Neurospora crassa OR74A: one gene and its partner. The protein of the gene in region 2 interacts with the protein of the main gene of each other region in a biochemical or structural test. Links are inferred from orthologs where the notes say so. Each region holds a gene or a part of one and is shown on either strand. Other genes may lie near its edges.

Region 1 (4,326 bases), on a different chromosome or scaffold from region 2:
TTCCCACGCTTGGTATGTTATGCAAGGATCACCTGTGTTCTCGTGGTTGCGCGTTATGCTGGACTGTTACCTCTCCTCCTGCCTCAAACCACCGAGTTCGGGAAGCAATGGGGTGAAGTTGACATGGATTGACGCTAGCACCTCAAGTTTCTCTCCGTTTGACTTTGTGTCCGTGGCGGTTCGTCTCCAAAGCAGTTATCAATCAAATCTTACTCCGCCTTTGCTAGTGAGGAGCCATTACCCACGGTGTTGTCTCCCAAGTGGAAGCTGTACCACATGAGCAAAGGAGCACTTCCGTCCGGAGGTTCAGATGAAACCCTACTGTTTGCTACATAAACTTTTCAAATGCACAGCTGCTGAGTTCACGTCATCAGGGACCACCAGCAAGACCGGAGACCTGTCAACGAGTGGGGATGACCTGCAGGATGATTGTGGCAGTGTTGCCTAGCGACATCAACCATCAAGCCCAGGCCGAATATGTGGATATCATCAGCCCTATAGGGATTTCCATATCGTACACATCCGTACGGCACAGCATCTAGAAAATCAACTCATCTCCCGATCACCGTTGATGTATGGAGGATCAGGTCATTGTCGGTCAGTGATGGCTGTAGGTTGCGCTGAGGCTGTTTGCTGCTTGTGATGCCCTCGTCAATTTCATCAGTATTGTGACCATAGATGAACCGCATGTTCCCCAAAACTGAAGCTCGATGATACAGTATTCGCACAGTCAATTGTCATATGGCCGAGCTTGTCAGTTGACAAACGCTCATTGCTGTCTTGTTGAAAAGCAAATAGTTAAGCATTGCTGTCGCCCTCATGCTCGATGTGTTCAGGACTGGTCCAGTACAGAATCAGCACTGACGGTGATGATGAGTAGCCTATTAACTTTTCTTCAGGACTTGAACAAGCTTTACATGTGTTTAGCCTTCCTTCTTCAACAAATCGCCGGCGTCTCATGCAAATCTTGACGGAACTCATGCTCTTATTCATCTTTCATCCTCACAGATCTAAGCGGTGACAAGATAAGGCCGCCCTACGTAGGTATCAAGAAGAGCAATGTCTGATGCTGTGGCTGGTCTCGGACAGGACATTCATCATTTTGACCCTAACCCTGATTACCCCTTTTCCGGCGAGGCCGTCAGGGTGCCTGACAAGACGGTCTAGGCCCCACCTTCCCGCCGTACCGAGTCGTTGCATCGCAGCTGAGGAACAGCACCGTGACCTGTCCAGGGTCCCTGAGGTCCATGCTTTTCAGAGAGTTTGGCGCCTGCCGTCGCGTCGTTGCCGGGAAGCTTTGCAGCAGAGAGGTGCCTGCCTGAGGCCACGAGTCCCAGTACTGTAGTACCTACCTCTAGTGTACCTACCTAGGTATCTACTGCTGCCGTGGTGCTGACCGTCACCGTCTGCCTGGGGCTGGGAGCGGGCTGGGAGAGGTCAAGTCAAGGTGGGGGGTGGACACACACGGTCAAGAGGAGCTCCAATAAGCGCATTCCATGGCCACATCGCACGCCCGCCCATTGTGTGCTGGGCTTCCACTTGTCGTGTTTCGGCCGGGTTCCCAAAAAGATGATCCTCTCTCATGAATGTCTACGTACCGCTGCTTTACCGTATCGTAACTTTGTCCATTGCGTGCCTCTACTTTCTTCGGATACCCCTTGCTTGAAATTCCAAAGAACCGCCATCCGCTCTCCGTTCCGCAGCTCCCCCGCCATCTCGAGAGCTCAAGCATCCGCTACCACTTCCTCTCTGGTCCAGATCCCCTAGACAGGCCCCCTTGCGGGCCCCTAATGATTGCATCGCCATGAGTTCCCGTAAGTGAGCCACCGGCATCGCCATGGTCCCAAGCCTCGAGCGACCAGGACGAGGCCAAAACTGACGCTTGTAATCGGCAAACAGTCAAGCAGTTTATTCGCAATGTCCGAGCCGCAAAGACCATCGCCGACGAGAGAGCCGTAATCCAGAAAGAGAGCGCCGCCATAAGGGCCAGCTTCAGGGAGGAGAGCCACGATCACAGCGTCAGGTGCATCTGAGCTGCCAATACCCAAGCTTCCCCGGGATCTCGGTTTGCTGATCAACTGTGTCATTGCAGGCGCAACAATGTGGCCAAGCTATTATACCTCTTCACCCTCGGTGAGCGCACTCACTTCGGTCAGATCGAGTGTTTGAAGCTCCTGGCCTCTCCGCGCTTCGCCGACAAGCGTCTGGGCCATCTCGCGACAAGTTTGCTGCTCGACGAAAACCAGGAAGTGCTTACTCTGGTTACCAACTCATTGCAAAAGTATGGTGCCCAGGAAGACGATTATGGGTGCGCAACGTGATGCTGACGCTCGGCTCGACAGTGATCTTAACCATTCGAATCAGTATGTGGTGGGCCTCGCCCTCTGCACCCTCGGAAACATCGCATCGGTCGAGATGTCTAGAGACCTGTTTCCCCAAATCGAAACACTTATATCGACGACAAACCCATACATCCGGCGCAAGGCAGCTCTGTGTGCGATGCGCATATGCAAAAAGGTCCCGGATCTCCAAGAACACTTTGTCGAGAAGGCGGCGCAATTACTATCGGATCGCAACCATGGCGTGTTGCTTTGCGGCTTGACATTGGTGACCAGCCTTTGTGAAGCTGACGAGGCCGAGGGTGGGGAAGAGGGCATCATTGAGAAGTTCAGGCAGTTCGTGCCGGTACTCGTGAGGACTCTCAAAGGACTGGCTTCTTCCGGTTATGCGCCGGAGCACGACGTTACGGGCATCACCGACCCGTTCTTGCAGGTCAAGATTTTGCGCCTTCTCCGAGTCCTGGCCCGCGGCGATGCTCAGACTACGGAGCAGATCAACGATATCCTCGCTCAGGTTGCGACCAACACCGACGCTACTAAGAACGTTGGCAACTCGATCCTTTACGAGGCCGTACTGACGATTCTCGATATCGAGGCCGATGCCGGCTTGCGCGTGCTGGGAGTCAACATCCTCGGCAAGTTCTTGGCTAACAAGGACAACAATATCCGTTATGTTGCGCTAAACACGCTGGTCAAGGTGGTGGCCATCGACACCAACGCTGTACAAAGACACCGGAACACCATTTTGGAGTGCCTTAGGGACCCCGACATCAGTATCAGGAGGAGAGCTCTTGATCTGAGTTTCACCCTAATCAACGAGAGCAACGTCCGCGTCCTTATCCGAGAATTGTTGGCTTTCCTGGAAGTGGCGGATAATGAGTTTAAGCCTAATATGACTAGCCAGATCGGTATCGCCGCTGATAGGTACGCCCCGAACAAGAGGTGGCATGTCGATACGATGCTCCGTGTCTTGACGTTGGCCGGTAACTACGTCAAGGAGCCCATCCTGTCCTCGTTCATTCGCCTTATCGCTACGACTCCCGAGCTACAAACGTACGCCGTGCAAAAGCTTTACACCAACTTGAAGAAGGATATCACCCAAGAAAGTCTGACGCAGGCCGGCGCGTGGTGCATCGGTGAATATGGCGACGCTCTTCTCAGGGGTGGTCAGTATGAGGAGGAGGAGCTCGTACAGGAGGTCAAGGAGCATGAACTTATCGACTTGTTCACAACCATCTTGAACAGCAACTACGCTACCCAAGTCACCACCGAGTACATCATCACGGCACTCATCAAGCTCACCACTAGGCTGCAAGACGCAACCCAAATCGAGAGAGTTCGCCGTCTGCTTCAGTACCACCAGACAAGTCTGGATGTCGAAGTTCAACAGCGTGCGGTGGAATACGGCAACCTGTTTTCTTTTGATCAGATCCGTCGTGGTGTGCTTGAGAAGATGCCTCCTCCTCAAATCAAGGAGTCCTCCCGAGTACTTGGTGAAGCTGCCAAGAAGACCACCAAGGCGGCGGGCAAGAAGACTAACAAGGCTGCCAAGCCCAAGGAAGAGGATCTCTTATTCGACCTCATGGGAGACACCAATCTCCCGTCTCCTTCTGTTCCCAACGGCGGGACGAACAATGCCGACCTCCTTGCCGATATTCTCGGCGGCACCACTTCGCCTCCGACCTCGGCCTCGCCGGCTCCCGCACAGTCAAACGTTGCCTCGATCATGGATCTCTTTTCGCAGGGACCTACCTCCACTCCGTCTCCCGCACCTGCACCAGCGGCTGCTCCATCAGCAGTCCTTGATCTCTTCAACACCACTCCGGCCGCCGCTTCGGCTCCGGCTCCTCAAGCGGCGCCCAAGCCCGCTGCTGCGGCCGGCCATGCTTGCTACGACAACAACGGACTGAACGTCACCATCCAAATACAGCGAAATGCCGAAGGCATGATCCAGGCTACGGCTCGCTTCCGCAACTCGTTCCCTGGC
Region 2 (4,441 bases):
TTCGAGGCTGGCCTTGCGCCGTCATACCGAGCCGAGGGCGAGTGCGGAGGCTTGAGTCACTGGACACATACTTTGCGATCCATGAACTCACTATTGGATGAAGTATTCTAGCTCATGTTGATGGACTGCATGTTGGGATGATGCTCCAGCCTTACGGTTGTTCAAACCATTCGAGGAGGCTGATATGCCAGAAAAATAAAGACAGACGGAAAAGGGGGGGGGGGGGGGGGGGGGGGGGGGGGGTTGAGGGGGTTCACCAGTTCATAACGGGCCAGAAGTGAAGCCAATAAAGAAGGCAAGGAGCTTCAGTGGTAAAAGTTCCATCAAACGAACATCAGGGATGGAAGCTATGCGAATTCCACAAGATAAAACAACAGATCGACCGCAACATCGGGTTACTTGACCATGAGCGACTCAACAGCCGGCTTGGGTCTTCTGGAATTGTGAAGGTGAGGATGAGTGTATACGGGGACTTAAGTTACGGATCAGTTCACTCTTTGAGGGACTCGCACGCGGAAACAAAACGTGACAAACACAAAGAAGCCGAATGCAGCATAAATAGACGTGAAATTTTGTTGCAGACGAGAGGCGCTGCAAGATACCCACCCCTACCTCCAATAACATTACGTGGAATATAAATCGTTTAACTGCTCATCTCCTCTTTGTGTAACTGCACACCCTTGATCTACTCCAAGGATCCCGCTTCCGTAAGTAGACGACAGCGGTTCTAAATACTCCTTGGAAAACTCCTCACACCCAGTCAGGTAATTAACCGAGCAGATCGTCCAACCCGTGGTTGCCGCCAGTGGTGGGCCTGCTACCGCTGGTCGGAGTGGAGGGCGCAGGAGTTCCCCAAATACCAGCACTACTCTTCTCTTTGGCCAGTTGTCCGATAGCCGGACCCTTGGTGGTAGGCGTGCTCTTCTTGATTCCAGCACTAGCCTGCGACCACAGCGCACCGAAGGCGTCACCGCCAGCGGCTGGCTTGGAGGCAGCTGAACCGGTTGCCTTGGTTCCTGAAAGCGAGGACCCGGTGGACTGGGTCTGCAGCTGTACCGGGGAAAAGTAGTTTGGCTGACCGGCTTGGAAGCCAGTTGGCTTGGGAGCCTGGGAGACGGGCGAAAGGGGCGTGGAGAAAGCCGAGAAGTTGGCAGCAGGAGTCGCCGTGGAGCTGGGAGGAGGAGAGATGGAGGAGAGGGCAACCATGCCGCTAAGGTTGGCCTGCTGAGGCGCCGAAACTGGTTGCGGGGCAACAAACTGTGTGCCAGTAGAGAGGGGGGCGATTGGGGGAGAAATTGCAGAAGCAGGCTGCGTGGCGGGGGCTGCAGACTGGAAATCATCGAACTCGTCGTCGTCGTCTTTGGCGCCGCCGGCTAGAGCCGCAAGCCCAGAGCCGTTGGAAGGTGCGGCAGCGAGGGGCGCGGTCGGGATGGATGGCGCTGCGGGCTCGTCGAAGGAAAACAAGTCGATCTCGGGCTCCTTTTTCTTGGGCGGCTCGGCGGGTGCTGTTGTTTTCTTGACCCCGGCTCTTTCTGTCGTGGATCGTGGTGTCCTTGGCGCGGTACGAGACGACGCCTCAGCGTCCAAATCACCTGCATCGTATTCCTCAAACTGCTCTGCCCGTGCCTGGGTCCCGCGGTAGTCGTTGTTGGAAGGCTGGCCACCAAAAACACCTCCGTCGCCATAAACTCCTCCAGAATAGCCACCGTAGGTAGAGCTGCTACCACCGCCACCACTGCTGCTACCGCCATACGAAGTGTTGCCGAAACCGCCATAACGTCCGCTGCTCCCGCTGGAGAAGCTCATTCCACCCGAAATGCCCGTGAACTTGCCCTTGTTTGCGCGGGCCTTCTTGCGCTCTGCTCGGATACGCTCGACATCGCTGAGGAGCTCGGCGAGTTCCTTGGCGCGGTTGCGGACGTTGATACCCTGGTCTTTGCCGTTCTGGTCGATAAAATGGAACTGGCGCAGCATCTTGAGGAGGGTAAGATGCGACCGAGCATCGTCCACCACTCGTTCGGAACCGTGCTTAATCAGGTACTCTAGTAGTTGAAGGGCCTTGTAGATCTGGCGCCATTCTTCGGCGGACTTTTCTGTGAAACGGCGGTAAATCATGGGCATGATTTCGTTGAGTGTTTGGCTAAGAACAAGGAGGGAAACGCAAGTTAGCCGCGTTCGTATACAAGCGAGCAGTTCTCGAGAACGTACTAGTTGAAGGTGCCATCGGCGATCTCTTGCATCAAAGTCGACGATGCACCCCAAGGTTCATTGTTGGTGGCCTCGCGCACCTGGGTTCGCTGTCAGCTCCCGTTCCATGGTCTCTTGTCTGGGATCAAGTATATGGCGAAGGGCGCAAGAGAATGGTGCCAGTGTGGCGCGTGGATACGGGCATACCTTGGACTCCATCTCGGTATAGTTCATGACAGCTGGTTGGAGCCATTGTCAGCACCCTGAACACGAAATCATGAGGGAGTCTTGGTTCTGGACTAGGTGGTCACCTACCATTTTGAACCTTTCGTACGCCAGCCTTGATGTCGTAGAGTGTCAGGTTGGACACGGTATCCTTGAGGCTATTGAAATCCATTGCGTAAACGTGTCTATCGCCGGAGTTGCTGGGAATTGTTCTGATGGGCTAAGGTAATTCTTCTCTAGATCCAATCTGAGCCTCGCGGTGATGATTGCCAGACGGGCGGGATGCTGTGGCGACTTGGTGGTTTTTGTTCGGGCTGATCGCTTTCAGGGCGACGTTTCACGGTCTTGTCGGGATCAGATGGACATTGAGGTGGCCTAGCGTCAGGGTGCCGCTGAGCGCTGACCTCAACTGACGCCGTCCAAGGCCGACCCCTGCGCTTGACCCAACACCCTGACACCAAGAAGCCAGTGGAACCCAGGAGGTCTGCCAAGACTTTGAAAGCTTGGCACGAGCGTCTCAGCTCTTTGAAGCCTGAGTTTTCAGGCAAGAATTCTGCTTGTAATTGCCGGGCCGGCCGACAACGCGGGGCGGCGGGAGGGGACGCTCGGCCGCCGGAGCTCGCTTCCATGCATTTTGGATGGAGTAAAAATTGTTAAACACCCGACCCGACTCCGTTCTCCCTCTCGTCTCAGGTCTTTGTTGTGCATCCATCGCCGTGTAGCAGATTTCCATCGTTCGTTTGTTCGGACTTTACCTTGTACTTTTAGCTTCATTATCATCCTACAATCATCCAGGATTTCATCTTCCACAACCGGTACGTTATCATTTTTACTTTTGTTGCCATGTTCTTCTTGAGCCTTTTCTGTCTAGAGGAGCTCTCCCTGCCGGCTGGGAGCTTGCCCAAAGCTCCAAGCTCTATCTGTGGCAGAGCTCTGAGAGCTTCCATTCCCGGGATTTCTTGGCATCAGATTCAATTCGAATGTCCTTTTTTCCATCCACGCTCGAGATGAGGGGTGAGGTTTGTTAGTTTGACAATACCACCACCGCCTTTTGGTCCCTACCCCAGACATGGCCATCAAGGTCGTTAATGCCGTCCATCCCTCTTGTTCGGCTTGGGGTATCGTCCATGGCTCCGCAATGTCGTCAATGGCTGCATTGACAGAGGGGGACTCCAAATGAAAGAGGCAATCGCAACGCTATGAAGACCCAACAAGCCATATGATGGAGCCATGGGTCTACGGTCCTTTGGCCCGGATGTCTTTGGATAGCTCTTGCCAGCGCTTTAGCTGCCAACTATACACACACGGGTGGTGGCAGTTTTGATTGTCATTGCCGTCAGCGTCAGGGCCGACGGGACCTTGGAGACTCGGGGGGGAAGCGCCAACACCAGATGGCAGCTGTTTACTTGTTCGTACTGGTGTTCCTGAGCCAACGAACCAATCCGAAGCCCACATGCGCCAAAGATGACACTTGCAGAGGCTCATACCACTCCACGTTGTCAAGCTGACCTGCTGTTTCGTCGTCTCCCGCCGCACTGGCAAACGAGACCGAAACAGGCGGCGTGGCGACAGGCCGACAGCTCGAGTCGCAACAATCAATCACGTGGCGAGCAGCTACGTACCTTCTCCGCCCCCCACTTCTCGGATTGGCTGACCCCTCCTTTCCATTTTAGTGAAAATGTTTGGACCCCGCCATTTCTCTGTCCTTAAGACAACAGGTTCTCTCGTCTCCTCGACTTTCTCGTCATCTCTCAAGCCCACTGCAACTTTCTCCTGCGCCAGAGCTTTTTCGCAAACATCCAGCATCATGTCCAAGGTGTAAGTCCAGCCGCTTCTCCAGGTCCGCGCAAACATGGGAGCTGCGCCTACCTACCCGTAGCTTCAGGGACACCGACTGACCTGCATGCTTTAGTTTCTTCGATCTCGAGTGGGAGGGTCCCGTCCTCGGCCCCAACAACAAGCCCACCAGCGAAATCAAGGGTAAGTCTACTCTCCTCATCTGCTTTGTCTTCATCAATCAGGCTCAGGA

What was found.
Region 1: the proteins of NCU00725 (region 2) and NCU04121 form a complex in vitro, tested with the Saccharomyces cerevisiae proteins (2 studies listed by BioGRID). The link is inferred for Neurospora crassa OR74A from reciprocal best matches to the Saccharomyces cerevisiae genes ENT3 and APL4.

What each region holds. Positions count from the first base shown.
Region 1 is NC_026505.1:4,912,569-4,916,894, forward strand, and holds the start of NCU04121 (AP-1 complex subunit gamma-1), read left to right. Parts: upstream 1-1,502; 5' UTR 1,503-1,804; coding exon 1,805-1,814; intron 1,815-1,899; coding exon 1,900-2,023; intron 2,024-2,092; coding exon 2,093-2,281; intron 2,282-2,342; coding exon 2,343-4,326. UniProt on the Saccharomyces cerevisiae protein: Adaptins are components of the adapter complexes which link clathrin to receptors in coated vesicles. Clathrin-associated protein complexes are believed to interact with the cytoplasmic tails of membrane proteins, leading to their selection and concentration.
Region 2 is NC_026501.1:7,404,981-7,409,421, reverse strand, and holds NCU00725 (epsin-3), read right to left. Parts: upstream 2,810-4,441; 5' UTR 2,585-2,809; coding exon 2,503-2,584; intron 2,427-2,502; coding exon 2,395-2,426; intron 2,289-2,394; coding exon 2,209-2,288; intron 2,141-2,208; coding exon 769-2,140; 3' UTR 473-768; downstream 1-472. Other genes in the region: csr-1 (peptidyl-prolyl cis-trans isomerase), read left to right, coding at 4,091-4,230, 4,325-4,392. UniProt on the Saccharomyces cerevisiae protein: Involved in the recruitment of clathrin to the Golgi network and endosomes to form clathrin coated vesicles. Plays a role in the trafficking of clathrin between the Golgi network and endosomes.